2 separate regions of the Mus musculus genome follow, and region 2 is reported to be linked to region 1. The links are microRNA targets in miRTarBase. Many come from high-throughput screens and were not tested one by one. Region 1 holds a microRNA gene; the other region holds the end of a gene's coding sequence.
The links. Region 1 holds the annotated microRNA mmu-miR-5134-5p (UUGGCAGAAAGGGCAGCUGUG, at 2,972-2,992, opposite strand). A microRNA usually pairs through its seed, bases 2 to 8, with sites in the 3' UTR of a target mRNA and lowers its output. Matches are read on the target gene's strand: a 7mer-m8 pairs with bases 2 to 8, a 7mer-A1 pairs with bases 2 to 7 and ends in A, and an 8mer does both.

Region 1 (5,072 bases):
TTCAGGGCAGCTAATGACACACCGCAGCCATGGCTTCCTGGTGCTTTCTCCACAGCAGTAGCGCTCAATGGCCTCAGCTTCCCGCAACAGCCACCCCGCCCCCCGCCCGCCCCCCCCCCCCCCCCCGTGACCTCAAACAGAAGAAACTTTTGCTCAAAGGAGAAAGTCAAGCCCTACTTACCCGAATCTTCCCTTCCAGGGCGGAAATGATCTCCCCCATCACGCGCACCAAGTCCTCGTATTTATACGTGTTGTCTGTGAGCCACACAGCCTCTCTAATCGTCAGAATCTCTTTGCTGATGAACCTGGAACGTAGAGATGGGCTCTCAGGCCTGAGCTGAGGGGCCATAGCTCAGAAAGCCTCAAGGCAAAAGCATGATGGGATGGCTCCAGACTCAGGTGGCAAAAGGAAGCTATGGAGCGAATCCACTTGCTTCTGACTATCAAAGAGCATCCAGGGGCTACAAAGAGGGGGTCAGAACAGGATCCTCAGACCCAGCAGGAGAGGCATGGCTACAGAGCACAGACAAGAATGTACAAGTGTCGGGTCCCGAAGAAGCCTGGGACAAGTCTCACTGAATACCTATAGCTCCTCCCAGCACTCCTGCCCCAACCCTACCCTGAACCTTTTACAGTCCAGGGGCTGGCCTTCCCTTCCAGCAGCTCTGACCCCTACATAACCCAGCCATGTTGGTATCTGTTCTCTTGGCCCGGCACCCCTCCGTCCAGCTCCCCTCTTCCTCTCTGCGTCTCCTTTTCCTTCTTCTCTCATGGCACAGTCTACTCTAGCTGTTCTCTCCTTTATAACCACCGAGGAGCTGTCATGTCCTGATTTTCATCCAAAAAACAAAAAAGACCCGACCCATGAGCGACACTAATTTAGCTCTTTATGACTTTATAGATGAGGGCTTTTTTTTTTTAAGGTTTGTTTGGCTGTGCTGTGGTTCAAAGCCAGGTGCAGACTCGCCAAGCTTCTAAACAACCGCTTCAGCTCCTGTCCTATCCCCTTGACTGCATCTGAGTACAAAGAATGCAAACATAAAGATAGGTGAGCTGCTGGAGCACGGTGGAGGGCTACACACAGCCCTCCCGGTGTAGGAGGGCTACACACAGCCCTCCCGGTGTAGGAGGGCTACACACAGCCCTCCCGGTGTAGGAGGGCTACACACAGCCCTCCCGGTGTAGGAGGGCTACACACAGCCCTCCCGGTGTAGGAGGGCTACACACAGCCCTCCCGGTGTAGGTGGGCTACACACAGCCCTCCCAGCGTTTGGCCACAGGAATCCTGACTGTTTCTGAGGCAGGGGCAGCCTGTTCTCTGCTGTCCACAGTACTAACAATCAGAAACACTCTGTTCCAGTGGTCCCACAAGCACCCTCCCCAGCGAATGTGGACTGCTGCTCAGCCTTGGCAGAAGGGTCAGCGGAGGCAGCAGCCTCACCAGCTTGCTGACTGCTGAGAAGACCTGGGATGTGAGATTCGGGTCACAGAGCCTATCTGAAGAAGACCCGGGATGCGGTAAGGTCAGATGTTCCCCCCTGAAATCCACAGTCTTCCTCCTGTGGTCACATGACCATGCTTCCTCTAGCTGGGACATGGATACTGGAAGGTGCTATAGTGTCTACTGTGGCTGGATATATATGCCCACATGGCTAACCTGGTAAGGAAGGTGGGCTTGGGAGCTTTGGCGGTGACAGGAAAAAGAACCACTCATGGAGCTCAGAGGGGAGCAAATGTGAGCGGGTCTCCTTCATGACCTTCATCCCAGTGGGCCGGATGTTCTGCCCACAGGTTCCTATATGAGTCAGGTTGATCCAAGAGTCACATGGGAAGAAATCTTACTAGATTGCTATGGGAGGGCTCAGCTCACTGTGGGTGGTGCGGTCCCTGGGCTGATGGCTCTGGGCACTATAAGAAAGAAGGCCCAGCAAGACACGAGCAAGCCACTATGTGGCACCCCTCCATGGACTCTGATCTGAGTTCTTACCTCCAGGCTCCCTCCCTGCTCAAGCTCCTGCCCTGACTTTCCTCACCAAGCTGCTTTTGATCATGGGGCTTTTTCACAGAGATAGGAACCCTAGTACACAAGCGAGCCTAGGAAGGAGTTAGCAGGGATGTGAAATGTGTGTCCTAGGAAACAGCAGACCAAGCTGGGGCCATCAAGTTTAGAAGAGTAAGAAAATGCAAACTACATTTTGAAAAGCGCCTTCCACATCGCTTCCAGAGGCAAATCTAAGCACAGCTTGAGAAAAAAAAAATGTAAACTGAACCTATTTGAAAAGCTAGAGCTGCCAGGGAACAGGCTGCTGTGTGACATGTGACATCCTGTGGCAGGCTCTGATGGTTGGGGGCTTTGGTGGTAGACTGGAGGATTCCATCTCAGTGACAGTTTATCTCTGATGACTGAGGAGGAAGGCACAAGCCAACAGCTACAACCAACTCTTCTTAGCAACTGGCATCCTTTGGATCATGGGAAAGTGTGGTCTAGCTTAGGCCTTCCCAAGTCCAGGCTCTGGGTCCCAAGACTGTGTGGGGGATACAGACCCCCCAAAGAGGTATAATCGACATACAAAGGGTCAACTCTGCCATCCCTTCCTCGCAAAGGATACTGGGATTGAAATTATTAACACAGTTGAGCCAGGTAAGGCACTTAAGAGTTATTTCCCTTAAAAATCAGCAGCTAGGACTCAGAGGACGGTGGCCTCTGCATCTGGGGGGACCAGCACATGAGCACCTCAGCCCTGCCCGTTGGTCAAGGCTCCTCACCGGGTACAGATGACCATGCAGGCAATACCCAGGAGCTGCAGCTTGTATCTGGGGACCAGCCTCCTTCGCAGGTACCGGTCTACACACTCCACAGTCAGGTGAAGACACAGGCTTGTAAAGTCCTTCATTGTGGCAACTTCCACCAACCAGTCGATTAGAATGTACCTGCAGAAAGAGGGCCACCCGTGAAAACTAGGACAAGCATCACAGCTGCCCTTTCTGCCAAGTCTGTTCAGCTTGAGCAAGTGGCCTCATCATTTTGAAACCACTGGTTTACCAACTCCGAGTCCCCCACAGCAACTCCCAGGAGGCTGGCTGGTGGGTTCACAATCTCTGCAGCCTGTGCCCAGGCCCCGAAGCCTGCACATCCCCAGTGTTCACAAATCCGAGTCAGCCCGCAGCCACCAAAGCACTGGGTGATCTCAATCCCTGCTCATAGGCAGTGGGTACCAAACAGGCAACACAACAGGGCTGGGAGCAGATCACAGCTCTCAGAACCAGACAGAGGGTTTCGGCTGCTCTGCATCATCAAGCACTGTCTGGGCCCTCGGGACAATGTTCTGCAGAGGATCAAAGAGCCAGAAATGCCACTTAAAGTAAGAGCCACTCAGTGCCTGCGCTGGTGTTCCCTCATCCAGCACCCCAGATGGATGCCCAGACACAAGAAGGCCGGCAAAAGTCTCTCTCTACCAGGGAGTTAAAAACCTGGGGAACGAGGCCATAAAAAACCCCAGGAGAATCTCGTAAGGACACCCTAGTAAGCCCAATGCTTCTCGGGCAAGAGATCCTTGTCTAAAGCTGAGGGGTTACATCAACAGGAAGCAAGAGAGAAAAGGCGCAATGATGTGGACTCTTGGGGAGACAGAAGGGGCAGGCTTTGCCTCAGCTCAGACTCATCGTCATAAGTCGAAGGAGGGATAGGGAGTCGGGCTGAGGTGGCGAGGAACAGGACAGGAAAGGTCTACTCCCCACCCCCACCCCCCAAGAAGGGTCAGGGGCTGAGGTTTAAAGCAGAACAGACTAGGAAGTTCCTCTAGGCAGACATACTTAACAAGCTTAATAATCCGACTTCTTTTTAAAAGTCATCATTACACTTATTTTGTGGGTATGGGTGGTAAGTATGTGCGGTTGCATGTATGACAGGGATGTGGGAGACAGAGGACAACCTTTGGGTGTTGGTTCTCTTCTTCCACGACATAGGTCCTGGGAACTGAACTCAGGGTTTCAGGGTTGGCAGCAATCACCTCCACCTGCTGAGCCATCTTACTGGCCCCAGTGATCTGTTTTTAGAAATCAGATTATTGGGCTATCAAGAGTTGGATTAAAGGCATGCATCAACCTGGGGCTTCCCAATAGTACTAGGATGGCTGCGCACAGAACCTCTGGAACCCACTCATCTCCACTTCCTCAGTATCAGGATTATAGGCACATGCGACTCCCTCAGACCTCCAGTACTGGGTACCAAACTCAAGTCACCATTCTTGTGCATCGAGCAAATTACTCACTGAGGCCACCTCCATGGCCCCAGGACAATGATTTAAAAAAAAAAAAAAAAAAAAAAAGCATTTACTAAACATAGTTCATGTTCCAAGCAGTGCTTGCAAGGGGCCAGAGGTTTCCCATCATAAACCAAAATTTTACTTGAAATTTCAGATGAAAGCTTAAAACACCATTCACATGTCCCTAATTCTAGGTACCCTCAAACACACTCTGCAATTTATTGTGTTATCACTAACGTTTGAAGCCTGGAATAGACAGTTGTGCTGGGTATCACAGTAGCTAACCCAAGGGATGGGATGGCTGGGATAGGGGTGAGGAGGGGTTCACCAGCTCCCTAGGTCTGACCTCTAGTCACTGAGTGGCAGAAAATATACTGATTATAAAGAGAGCTGTAAAGAAAAGGTTATATTTATAGGGGTTGTGGGTTAGAGGCAATTCATCATGAATAAGGTGCTGGGCTCAAAAATCTAGATCCTCTTCCATCCAAAAAACAAAACAAAAACCAAAAACCAAAAGTTGTATTTCAGCTTCAGAAATCGGAGTGATAAGTCTCATCATTTCATAATGATGATTTGAACAATTTAGCATGCTTTTCCGCTTTAAAGACTTTGGTGGCTTACACCTGTACTCTCAGAACAATGCAGGAGGCTAAAGTAGGATAACTAGAAATTCAGGGCTAGTCTAAGCTACAACAGGACTGGGAAGATGGTTAAGTATTTGCTGAACAAGTACAAGCACTGGCATTTGGATCCAGAACCCATGAAAGTGCCAGCTGTGTGTGGTGACCAACTGTGAATTCCAGCTGC
Region 2 (5,072 bases), not on the chromosome of region 1:
GTGACACTAAAACACTCTACATTCTAATGGCAAAAGATTTTCCAAAGGGCAACTAATGTTAAATTAGCAGGATTAAAGAGAATCCCACTTACTATACTTAGAGATTATACTAACTTACCTGAGAGGTAGATTAGTGAAGAATTTTCACCAAGAGTCATTCACACAGACAGAATTCTTACCTCTACTTTGGTAAAGAAACTGGGTAAAATTGAACTTAATAGCATTTTTTCTTTTACCAAACAGCTTACTACTATCTTTCAAAAGGAATAAATCAAATCTCCATTACATCAGTGTGAAGTGTGTTCAAAGGAGCCACCTTGCCTTTTTGGCTCTTTTATTGCTACAGAGGTGGGAACAGGTAAGTTGAGATAGTCTTCTCTAAGTCGTAGGAGACTGTGGAAGGCCAGCAATCTTGGAGAAGTAGCAAAGTCACTAAGTAAATGCACGAGCCTGACCAGGGCAACTGCAGTGAGCTCATACAGATAGGACAATGGGCTGTGGTGTTCAGAAACCCTTGCATTAACCTTGGGCACACTGCATGGATTTTACCAAGTCCAAGTACAAAAAGTGGAGAATGAACACTCAGAGAATAAACACAGAAGAAAATTCTTTTTTTAACAAAGTAATATTTTCAACTGCTTTCACAAATGCTTTTATGTGAAAATATTCATATGAAAAAGCAATACACCACTCTGTTTCACTTGGTCATCACTATCTTTAGGTTTTGACACAAATGGAACCTGACAATCAAATGGCAGTACATAGGCTCAGGGTTATGTACAATTCTGTGATCAGAGAATTTGTAATGCAGGCAATGTAGTACTTGAAATGATGAACTGATTTCTCATTTCAATTGCTACACATCTATTTGAGAGCACAGAATACATAGGTAATGGAAAATAAATACACTGGGCTAAACAATCAAAACTATTACAAAAAAACACACCATTTTATAATATACTGACTCACAAATGAACAGTGTCATTAGTATAAAAATTGCATTTCTACAAAGCTTTCCAAAGACAAATAAAATTAAACCACATTAGAAATGAGTCAAAGCCACAGGTGAACATCACAGTCTACACGAAACTTTAGAGAATAAGCCTCTGAGGTCAACATGCTAGGCTGAAGCTGTCCAAGGTTTCTCAGTTGAGTCTCCTGCTTTGGGTAGCTGCTCAAAGAACTGACCTAGCAGGTTTCATGAGACTCCACCTTGGCTTCTGTCAGAAGCTACAATCTCACAAGGATCAAGTCAATGAGGTAAAGAGACACAACACTGAGAGCGTTCTTGTTGGCACAAAGATTTACACAAATACTTTCCAAACAGTTGAATGATTTGACAGGCTAGTCAATCACAAATGTACAATACTGGCAGGAATAACAGCAGGACACTAAGAGGAAGAACACAGAAAACCTGTACACACCAGCAAAAGCTCCATTCTCTCTCTCTTTCCCTCACTTCATGCTTAGGATTTTAATGCTGAAATATCTTTCACCCTTTACAATTCTTTAAAACTTCCCTTTGACCTCCATTGTTTCCAAACTCGCAAAAGCCACATGGCAGATATTCCCTTAACTAGCATTTTAATCTCCTCCCCAAAAGATGTTACACAGTGCACTTATTCAAGCTTACATATACTCAAACCACATGGCAATATCTTAATTATCAGCCAGGAGTTGGCCCTAAAAGGTCAAAGTGTAGCTTTTCAGCTGTCCAAAGCTGATCTGTGTCAAGCTTGTTTGCCTTCCATTGCACTAGTTATTATAAATAACAGGTACAGATCCTATGTACAGGATGAGACTGCAGTGACTGCCACACAGCACAATGGCCTATGTAGTGAATGAGACATCTCTTCCATGTTCCATGATTAGCCTTCAAAACCAAACAATAACAACAACAGAAAAGTGAACTGCCTGTGCATCGCTCCCATGGGATTCTAAGCAAGTCAGTGTGGTTCAGCATGGTTAAGGAGGTGAAGGGTTAAGAAAAAAATAAAAAGAGGTAATGGAATTTTCAGATATTCCAATGAAGAACAAGGCACCTTTCTCTATCCATCTGTGCATAAAGCACTATACACCCTCATTCCACAATTGCTATCTCATTCACCAGATTTTAACATCCAGAAAATAGCAATCTACAATTAAATAGCAGGTATGGCAATGGAAGGGAAGCATGGTTTTTGTTTTAGAAAATCACATTTTCATGCACTTCACTTCTGGATTAAATTTATTATGTACACAAAAATGTATTAAATGTTTATCTAATCTTAAGTTGTTTATTCCTTTAATTTTATATGAACAAAGTATTGAAAATAAACCTTAAGGCTTCATATGGAAAGAAATTAAGGTCCTGGACTATTTACTAGAAACCCAATTTTTGCCAGGATGTTAAAAACAGAAAAGCCAGGAAAAAAAATGATTCCTACAAATAAATATAATTTTAGTGGACTAGACCCCCTTCTCCATGACTTTTTCTTCCAGCTTCCAATATCTTTTAAGTATTAAGAAAGGAAATATAATGCGGGTGGTGGTGGTGGTGCACGGCTTTAATCCCAGCCCCTGGGTGGCAGAGGCAGGCAGATTTCTGAGTTCGAGGCCAACCTGGTCTACAGAGTGAGTTCCAGGACAGCCAGGGCTACACAGAGAAACCCTATCTCAGGAAAAAAAAAAAAAAAAGAAAGGAAATATATTATCTTATTATATTATTAGGTAGTATTTGTGGTCCAAATGGAACCTGGTTTTAAAACATTTATCAAAGCCAAGGCAGACTGTAATCCTTCAAGCTTTCCCTCTTGTCAAATATCCCATTAAAACCCAGTATGTCGATTTGGAGGAGGGTACTTCACAGAACAGAGATGCAAGTCGTCCCTTTCCCACCACTCTGAACTTGGATTTACTATTGCTTAAACACTCCATGCATCAAGGAAGGATTACAAGGGAAGGAAGGAAGGAAATATACTGGCAGAAGAGAAGGTGCAGCTCAGCTCTATTAGGAAGATGAAAAGTACCACAGAACCATGACACTTTTGAGTAAGGATGTATCAGAAGGGCAGAAACATGGAAGGGCAGTAAGGTCTCCAGTTCTGTGATGGCCTCAGCCTTGAACTGACAGTTAACTAAGTTAGAAAGATGAAACAAAAACATTCATAAAGAATGGATTGTCACAATAAAATCTTTCTTTGTGCAAGGTTTGTAGCAGCCTTGTGCAGTACAGGAAGGCAGATTCTGAACCTCCACTAACAATGACCCTCCTGTTGGCAGCTAATGCAAAGAAAACGTTATCTAAGCAGCCAGAGAAATACACTACATACCCCTTTTTAAAATGATGAAACATTTTGAGTTTCACAAACCTGTACTCATTATTCTGACTCAACCCAAGGGGGAATAAGATTGAATTTAGTCATCCTTCATATAGCTAGAATCTAATTTTATGGATTTATTCTCAGACTTGAGAGGGTAAGAGAGGAGATAGAGATTTTTTTTTATTTAATAAGGAATCTGGGTTCCTTGATACTGATATTGGATTGAGCAGGGAGAGATTTATAATCACACAATTCTCCAGAGGATCAAGGGAGATAGAAACAAATAAAATCTTTTACCTACTGAAATTGACTTTCATCAATTTGTTTTTTCACCAAAAGCACATCACTAAAAGCAAAGCCGACATGCCTTTTCAGTTGTTATTAAAGTGGTTCCAGAGAGGTTTCTTGAGATGGAAACTAACCACCACAGACCTGAAGTCAGCTTTATAAAAATACCTTACAGTGACAAGGCTTAGAGCACTCTGGGTTCAGAAAAACAAAGGATGTGGCTGGAGAAACTCTTGAAGAAGTTATCCTGTAACTATAGGACCCAAAAAAGATGTTGCTTGTACCTGTCCTATGAAACTGCCACTGCCTTTTGAATTTTCAGAGAGTACAGCATATGTCTTTGAGACACTTGGCAGTCTTAGCCTCCTCAACTGTGGTTCCCTCAAGTTTTACATCCAGTAAGGGTAATCCATGCAGATCACTGCTGCCGGCTCTTCTCACTACAGAGCAGCTGTGAACCATGGGAGTCTGCAAGTGCAAGGTGGAAAAGTCATAGAGATGAAAGGTAAGAAACAAAAGACGAGAGACCAAAAGAGCTCAGATGACTCCCTAGCTCCATGCTGAAGTTCTATCTATACCCCGGTCTCCACAATTTCTAGCCTCAAGAGAGTGCTGGGGAGCTGTGGTACCTGATGTTTCTGACCTGACTAAAACACATGCTTAACAACGACGGCAAAGACTTCCTGCACTTTAAGGATGCTCTGGTTTTGCTGTCACTTTATCAAGCAGCAGCCTCACTTCTAAAGGTGCTAATGAGAACTGCAGAGAAGTCCTCTGATTTACTCTTTGGCTCCCAAGCACATCAACTTGTTCTCTTCAAGACCCCACAAAGGTACTAACACTATGATGGCTAAGTGCTACACCTCTCTTACGACACTGAGGCTTACTACCATGTAACCACGGGGCCAGAGATCATCTTCTAAAAGTGAACACTGCTCATTCAGAAAAACAAAACAAACAACTAAGGATTTGGCTTAAACTGCAGACCAGAGGGAAACAGACTTCTTTTTTGGCCTGTATTTTTAGAAATGTCATAATGTAACCTAAGATCCCTTGTTGGCATTCTGACTCTTGCGCTGCCTCAGGGCGTCTTCCACCACGTCCTGAGTGTCAGCTGGGTGAGCTCCGTCCTCCTTTGGGGACACACTACCCTCCTTCACAACTGCTCGCTCGTTGGTGTCACTTCTCTCCTCAGCCATGATGCCTGCCAAGTTGTCCTCTTCCTCATCTTCTTCTCCTTCATCCTCATCTCCAATGTCCTCTTTCTCTTCCTCATCATCCACAAGACTGTCTTTGTTTTCTTCTTCATTTGAGTCATCCTTTTCTTCCTCTGCATCCTGTAGCTGCTCAGCTCCTTGAGCCTCTCCAGTACTCTGCTCCTGCTCTATGGAAGGAAAAGAAAAAACAAAAAAACAAAAAACCTCTGGATAATAAATGGCAACTTTGTAATTAACTCACTGATTAACCAGGAGATGAACAAAT

Region 2: the mRNA of Tmx4 is a reported target of mmu-miR-5134-5p. Seed matches in the 3' UTR shown: 7mer-A1 at 3,940-3,946, 7mer-A1 at 3,255-3,261, 7mer-m8 at 2,960-2,966, 7mer-m8 at 2,565-2,571 and 7mer-m8 at 1,559-1,565.

What each region holds. Positions count from the first base shown.
Region 1 is chr17:24,231,604-24,236,675 of GRCm38, forward strand. Mir5134 (microRNA 5134) reads right to left here and starts at 3,001; the gene lies at 2,924-3,001. Ccnf (cyclin F) reads right to left here. Exons shown (of 17, transcript NM_007634.4): 10 at 2,767-2,931; 11 at 182-305.
Region 2 is chr2:134,593,892-134,598,963 of GRCm38, forward strand. Tmx4 (thioredoxin-related transmembrane protein 4) reads right to left here. Exons shown (of 8, transcript NM_029148.1): 8 at 610-4,974. The coding sequence ends at 4,634. Among named protein-coding and RNA genes, the nearest start is that of Hao1, 42 kb to the left of the region's middle.